Danio rerio: one gene and its partner. The protein of the gene in region 2 binds, or shares a complex with, the protein of the main gene of each other region. Links are inferred from orthologs where the notes say so. Each region holds a gene or a part of one and is shown on either strand. Other genes may lie near its edges. The genes, in order: rnaseh2c and rnaseh2b.

Region 1 (3,070 bases), on a different chromosome or scaffold from region 2:
TCTTACATGGAAAAAAAATCCTTACTATCATGTGACAGATTGGAGTAATTTAGCTGTGAAATTAGGTACAAGACAGCTATTTCAAAGGGCACCTATGATCATCTTTTGTAAACTGTTTGGACAACTGTGTGTACGTATAGTGTGTCCACAGTTATACTGGGATTGATAATAGACAATAGGTCTCAATGTTTTGAATCTCTTAACATTAAAATAAGATCTAAATCCGTCCCATTTTGAGGCCGACCGCAATGTGACGTAGGAGTGTGGTTTCCCCGCCCACCGAATTGATTGACAGCTGCTTATTAACATGTGTCCGTAGTAATGTGTCATATCAACAAGTCAGGACATGTGCAAAGCAACTGGGATTAAAGATCGTCATCAAGAATGAGTTTTACAAGTTTAAAAGTTTTTCAAACAGTGCATGTTTGTAATGAATTACAGCAATTTTACTTTATCTTTAATTTATCACCACAGCTGCTTGTTAGTATAATTATAAAAGAAGACGCTTCAATCTCGGTTTGTGGATGTTAAATCAGGTTTATTTTGTACATTAACATAACAGATATCCATATAGCGGTGGATATTAACGTTTATATCCTGTCACATTTGCCATGCAAAAGCAGTGTATAGTAAAGCGTGCGTTCTCTATGTATATCTGTGTGCGTGAACTTTATAACAACATTGTGTGTGATACATTGAAAGGCTCAAAAAAACTGCACCCAATACATCAAAAAATCATTGGGAAAGTTTTCACTATAGAATTTCTCACAAATGTTATGTGAGATCTGCTTCCTTCATGTCTGTCACTGTGCTGTTTATCTGACACAGTCGTGGGGAAGATTAAGGCACACTCTGACAGGCCTGGTGGGTGGAGAACGGTGGGTGGAGGGAACCAGCATTAAAGGCACAGGCCACAAAAACAGCTTCATAGTGTTCAGAGCAGAACATTTGAATATTCCGAAAGGGATAATAAATAATCTGATTGGTGTTTTGAGCTGAAACACATTCTGGAGACACGAAAGACTTATCTTAAATCTAGAAAAAGGGGTCAAATAGGTGCCCTCTACTGATATTTCACAATATTACAATCTTTACTGTATTTAAATCAAACAAATGTAACCTTGGTGAACACGAGACTTGTTTCAAAAAACATAACTGCAATCTTTTATCACTAATGAATATCAAATCAAAATGTATTGTTACTATTAAATAATGAGCAGCTACATGGCAAAAGTAAGAGTTTGCACAAGGGAAAACAATAAAACAACACTTTAATAGATTGTTAGATTGTGACATTCATGGTAAGTGTGGTAAAAATGGTGGTCTTCCAGCAAAAGATTATTTTAACATTTGTTTTACTGTAACCGTGTACTTGGAGGGGAAGGGGGGGGGGGGTAGATCTCCATAATAAAACAGCATCCGTTATCAGTCATCCACTGGTCCATGTATCTGCAGGAAGAGGTATTGATTTAAGTTAATGCAGGTGCCCAAACTCAGAGGGCCGGTGTCCTGCAAAGTTTAGTTCCAAACCCAGTTAGACACACCTGAACCATTTAATCAAGCTCTTTCTAGGTATCAAGCAGGTGTGTTGAAGAAAGTAAACTATTCAGGACACCAACCCTTCAGGACCAAGTTTGAGCATCCCTGCTTTAGAGAATTTGAATTGGCAGAAAATGTGTTTATTACATTATTATCTGCTGTGTTAATGACAATAAATAAGTGCTTCAGAAAGTAACTCACCGCCTCTGCTAACTCTGGCCATGCCATCGCCATCACAACTCCGTCATCAGATGTGGGAGGCGTCTCCAAATTCCAGTATGTGAAATGATGAAACACTGAAGAAACTTTTACTACTCTGTCCTGGAAACAATTGTTAGAAATCATTAAAGATGTGTTTCCTAGAAAGTAGACATCTAACATTTAAACATGTTTGATTTGCAGGCACCTCTTGATCAGATGCCGGCTTCTGGACCTCTTTCAGCACCACTCCTGTGTATCCTTGTGGGCATTGCAACTCCTGACCCTTCAGCCCTCGGCCTCTGAATGATACTGTGGTTTCTGCCAAACACAATGTTATCTTTATCGGGTGGAGTGCTAAAACTTGAGTTGTAGTCTCGAGGTGTGTGCTGGTGTTTGACTAACCATGTTTGCGTTCCTTCACTGTGGGATTAAAGAACTTGAAGACTTCGGCGGGTCCGTCATGCTCTACTTCACAAGGTAACAGGTGGATCTGTGGTTTGTCAGCTTGTTTGATGGAATCACGTCGGATGGATGTCACACAACTATTTGCCGTCATCTAGTAAAACAAACTTGTTATTAGGATTTCAAGTATTTTATGCGAGAGTGATACCAGGCAGTCCACATGTGGCTTTGTGCACTTATGAACATGTTTTGTTGTTATAATGGTTCAAGTTAATTGAAGTAAAGTTGGTTTTATAGACCATTTTGAGGCATGTAAACAAAAACAATGGTCCTGTTTCCTGCTTTACATTTTTAATTTCTATAGCTTCGAGAATCCAAAAAGAGCCACATATTGATAATGTCATGATAGCTGTTTTACATTAAGGTATGATTGAATTGCCTCTTGTTACAGTGATGAAATAGTCTGAAAACCAGCAGGAAATATTCATGAGCCAATGACATCACTACATTGAAATGGTCAATACACATCAGGGCTAAACAATAAGGACTGCCCGGTGGCCCAGGGCCGCCGTGAGAGACACTTGGGACAGTAGACCGGATCATTAATGGCCCGATTGGGACAGTGCTGCCTTGTCACTAATATTTAATTTGTCTGTGACTATTTGTCAATTGCATGCATTTTAAGTTTGTGCTTTTAAATCTTTAAATGCTACCTTCTCTGTAATGTCGTAAACAACATATTGCTTTCCGATTCGTCTTATCGGATTGATTTGACCATGCTATTTTTTTTTTGTAACCTGGTAACAACCAATACAGCGTAGAAACAGCAACATAGCGGCAACATCAAATTAAAAGGCTAAACGAAAATGTCTGTCTCTAACGTGTTGGAAGTAGACATTTACATGGAAACAACACGACAAAATAATAA
Region 2 (4,517 bases):
TTCAATTCATGGCTGTTTGCAACACTTTGTATTTTTGAGTGTATGTTACAAAATGTGAATGTACAAATGAAATTAAACAATTATCATGTCAAAGATGCCAAAAGGATAAAATATGTTTCATTTAAAGCTCATATGTCTCATGTAAAAAGAAGAGATAAGTAAAAGAAGAAACAAGATGAAGTAATAGACGAATGACGTGTGTGGTAATGGGGTGGGAAAATAATAAGCTTGTGCTTCATCCTGCTCCATTTTGACCATGTTGAAATGTGTTTTTGTTTAAAGAATTGTTTTATGTATGATTTTTCTGTTCTAAATAAATAAATCAAATTACCATTTGTAACTTTGACAAATTAACAACAATACATTTTATTGAATTGTTTAAAACGAAGACTATGCAGTATTATTTTACAATTTATTATTCAATTACTTTATACCTGAATACAGTTCGACTCATCAGAAAACAATAAAACTGGCTATTTTTTTCATTTGTTTCTTTTTTATTGAGTTTATTTAAACTTGTAGATTGTTTATTATACATTATGTACTCCCCAACAGAATCTAAAATTATAAATTATTTCCAAATAGCTATTCAAGTCATCTCATGAAATTGTATTCATATCGCAATGTACAGTTGAAGTCAGAATTATTACCCCCCACTGAATTTTTTTTTTTTTTTCAAATATTTCTCAAATGATGTTTAACAGAGCAAGGGGGTTGTCACAGTATGTCTGATAATATTTTTTCTTCTGGAGAAAGTCTTATTTGTTTTATTTAGGCTAAAATAAAAGCAGTTTTTTTTTAAACACTATTTTAAGGTCAACATTATTAGCCCCTTTAAGCAATTTTTTTCGATAGTCTACAGCAGTGGTTCTCAAAGTGGTGGTCGGGACCCCTTGAGGGGTCGCGGGACAATGAAAAGGGGTCGCTTAGTGATTTCCAAAACTCAAATACATTTGAGTAAACTATTAGAATTACCATATTTTATTCATAACCCACAGAAGATAGTTAATAGTTATGTTAAAGACACAACAACAACAACATACAAACAAAAATCAGCCATCAGCCTTTAATTTTTTTATGTTTGAATTAAATTAATGAATGACTACAAAAAACATTATACGGTTATTAGACTGTTGCATTTGTATGTTGTCAATATGCTCATGTTTTTTATGCCTATAGTTGTGTATTTTTAAAGTATAACCACCTTGAAAAATGGGGGTACCAAATCACTGACATCATTATTTTGGGGGTCGCGGGTTGTAAAGTTTGGGAACCCCTGGTCTACAGAACAAACCATAGTTATACATTAACTTGCCTAATTACCCTAACCTGCCTTGTTAACCTAAAAATGTTAATTTAAACTGTTTAGAAGTGTCTTGAAAAATATCTATCTTTTGTCATCATGGCAAAAAAATCAGTTAAAAATCTGTTATTAGAGATGAGTTATTAAAACTATTATGTTTGGAAATGCGTTAAAAAAATCTCTCCATTTAACAGAAATTGGGGAAAAAATAAACAGTGAGCCAATAATTCTAACTTTTACTGTATATCACAGAACAAAAAAATATTACAATGTAAAATATTTCCAATATCATGCAGTCCTACTATCAGAAACTGAAACAGGTTTGAAATAGATTGTGAATAAATTATGACAGAATTTTTATTTTTGTGTGAACTATCCTATTAATGGACGATTCACTCTCTGTAGTGTGAGCTTACCTCTTTGCACTGTCTGTCCAATAAACCAAGACCGGAAGTCTTCAGAAAAAGCTTTTACTTCATAAACACTCAAATCTCCACAGCCAAACAGGTACAGCGAAGAACTACCTGAACTCAGACAACGACAGAACTGTCAGTTAGTTAAGGTTCATATAGCTGATCCACGTCATCTCTAAACCATCAGTTGCAGTAAATGAGTGCACTGAGTCAAAAGGCCACCTGTAGAAGGATTCTTCAGTTTGATGAAGGAAGGATCACTGTCGACAGACCTGCCAGTGTCTAGTGCTGAATCTGAAAAAAAGGGAAGTCACAGAAGGAAAATATAAGTGGATTAATAAAATTCATAACTAAACTTAATGTAGATGTTGGTGGTTAAAGGGATAGTTTACTCAAAATAAATGAAAATTTTGTTGTCATTTACTTATCGAAAAAACTAATTCTGAAAACAAAAACATATTTTGAAGAATGTGGCCAAAACAAAAGGTTGCAGTTACATGGTATAATTAAAATACCATGGGGGTCAATGGAGACCAGAAGTTGTTCGATTGAGCACATTTTCAAAATATCTTATGCTAAGTAGAGGAGAGAAATTCTCAGAAAATTAAAAGGTAGTAAATGGTAACGTAATAACGTTATACATACACTATATGCACTACTACTAATAATTACTATTAGAGTGATTTCTGAAGGACCCGAAGACTGGAGTAATGAAGCTGAAAATTAATCTTTAAAATCACTGGAATAAATTATTAATTTAAATGATAAACTGTTTTTGCACAGTTATTTTATAGTGCATTAACATTACACAATTTTTACTGTATTCAACAAATGCAGTCTTGGTAAGCAGGAAAAGCTCATTTTTTAAACATTTAAAATATTGAATGTAACTAACGGTTAAACATAGAGCATAAAGATAAATACATTTTCATAACGAGTCCTCAGTGTATTAGGATGTGAACTGAAGACTGTTTATAACATCAGTAACGTTATATAAGTTTAGTATACAATGCATGTAGGGACATGTGTGAACATGCAACAGCAACACAGAGTAACTAACGTTAAACGTAGCAAATGTTAGATACCTGGAGCAATGACAACCCAACTGTCGCTCTCGGTGTGTGCAGACCGTTTCTTTTTAGAAGTCATTTCAAATAACTAGTTTTAAAAGTTAAACTGTAAAAACAAGTTGTCCGCTGTGTATAAATGCGACGAGTGAATGTTGTGCCTTCAGAAAAATGGCGGCAAATCTTTGAGTTACACATAAGCAGGGGTAAGTACTCGACTTCAAGTTTTATTCTAGGGTTTGTTTAGGTAGTGCTGCACAATATTATACATTCCTTAATAATATATTGCGAATAAATCAGATGTTATGTTTTTTAAGAACGGGAGTGGAGAATGGCACCTCTAAAGAAATATCGAGTGCACCGTGTTCACCCTTCTCTCCAAATGGTACGGTCTCTCAGTATTCCTTAAAGACATAGCGGGTCATTAAAAGCACCAGGCAGCCTTCAGGTCTTCCATTTTAATCAACTGATTCTTCTTTTTTGTGTTAAATTATTATTGTTAAAGAGTGTTGTTCTTGTTACCATTTAAACCATTAAAAGGTAAGGTGTTGAGTTTAGTGTACAGTATTTCAGTATCAGTACTGAAAATGAACGACCTAATCTAATGTAAAACAACACTGTATAGACTTCACTGTATAAATAAAATTTCTACATTTATAGCTATTTATAGCATGGATTTATAGATTAGTGAAGTTATAAAAGCTATTCAGACCTGATTGGTGAGTACCCTAATTTTATTGCATTGACAGGCCTATTATGATACAAATCAAACTCACAGCAGGTTCATTAGGCTGCAGTTATCTACGTGCATAAATATGTCTGTGGACTTCTTCATGTATTTATTTATATGACAAATAGTTTATAGTACATTTTTCTTTGTGGCCTATTTTTGTTGTCTGGGGGAATTGTGCAACACCACCAGCTACAAATATTTAAAAAAGAATCGTTTGTGATAAACTTCTACCCAAACATAAAAAACAAGATGCAAAGCTGTTCTCTTTTGTTGTGATATAGCCTACTGTAAACATTTACATGACACATTTATTATACAGCTTAAATAACTAATGTGTGTATTATTGGTACACACATAGCCTACATGTGCACTGAGAGGGAAGACACACAATATTAGGAAGGATGTTTAAAAAAACTCAGAGACAAGTCTTGAGGTGTCTGCTTAGTTCCAGCACTTCAAGCGGCCCCAGGATCTTGTCAGGTTTTGCCAGTGGTGCATAGGGTACAGGTGTCTCTTGCACAGTATGATAATATTTATTTACAAAGCATTTTATTCACATTGTCAGGTTGTGATCCATCAGCAGTATTAATCTAAAATCTGGATTAAATCAAAGTTTATCTAAGAATTATGTTGCCTAAATATGAGGCATGTGGTTTACAATTATACCAAATGTTTGATCCTGGACTTTATTTCACAATAAACCTGGATTAACTAGGCTACAATCTTATTGTTTCATCACTTAGGTTTAGATTTAAGTTAAGGATCAACTTTAAATTTGCAATTGATAAGGTTTAAACAGCCTAAATGCTATTCTATTTCTGGTGAAAAAAATTAAAGTTTCTCACAGATAAACAAGGGACTATCCCAACATTTTAGTTCTCTTCCTTGACCAAATGTGTTTTTAACAATCAATTCAGTTATTAATTAATACAATATAATATATATTTAGACCATATAATCTGAGACAGAGATATATTGTACTCCTAGATTAGATCTGAAAA

Evidence for each region.
Region 1: the proteins of rnaseh2b (region 2) and rnaseh2c are in contact, whole or in part, in a crystal structure (PDB 3PUF), measured with the Homo sapiens proteins. The link is inferred for Danio rerio from reciprocal best matches to the Homo sapiens genes RNASEH2B and RNASEH2C. Residues at the interface, in NP_078846.2 of Homo sapiens: Arg14, Gln15, His16, Val17, Phe18, Leu19, Val20, Ser21, Glu22, Leu24, Leu35, Met36, Phe37, Val38, Lys39, Leu52, Glu62, Lys64, Phe66, Glu68, His70, His71, Ser72, Trp73, Phe74, Ile75, Asn76, Gln77, Ser78, Val79; in NP_115569.2 of Homo sapiens: Ile9, His12, Arg13, Val14, His15, Leu16, Ser18, Ala27, Thr28, Leu29, His30, Leu31, Leu32, Pro33, Cys34, Glu35, Val36, Ala37, Val38, Asp39, Gly40, Pro41, Ala42, Pro43, Val44, Gly45, Phe48, Phe63, Val75, Pro77.

Annotation. Positions count from the first base shown.
Region 1 is NC_133189.1:40,008,587-40,011,656, forward strand, and holds the end of rnaseh2c (ribonuclease H2 subunit C), read right to left. Parts: intron 2,297-3,070; coding exon 2,143-2,296; intron 2,059-2,142; coding exon 1,946-2,058; intron 1,861-1,945; coding exon 1,741-1,860; intron 1,450-1,740; coding exon 1,426-1,449; 3' UTR 522-1,425; downstream 1-521.
Region 2 is NC_133184.1:31,343,392-31,347,908, reverse strand, and holds the start of rnaseh2b (ribonuclease H2 subunit B), read right to left. Parts: upstream 2,927-4,517; 5' UTR 2,802-2,926; intron 2,011-2,801; 5' UTR 1,939-2,010; intron 1,828-1,938; 5' UTR 1,720-1,827; intron 1-1,719. UniProt on the Homo sapiens protein: Non catalytic subunit of RNase H2, an endonuclease that specifically degrades the RNA of RNA:DNA hybrids. Participates in DNA replication, possibly by mediating the removal of lagging-strand Okazaki fragment RNA primers during DNA replication.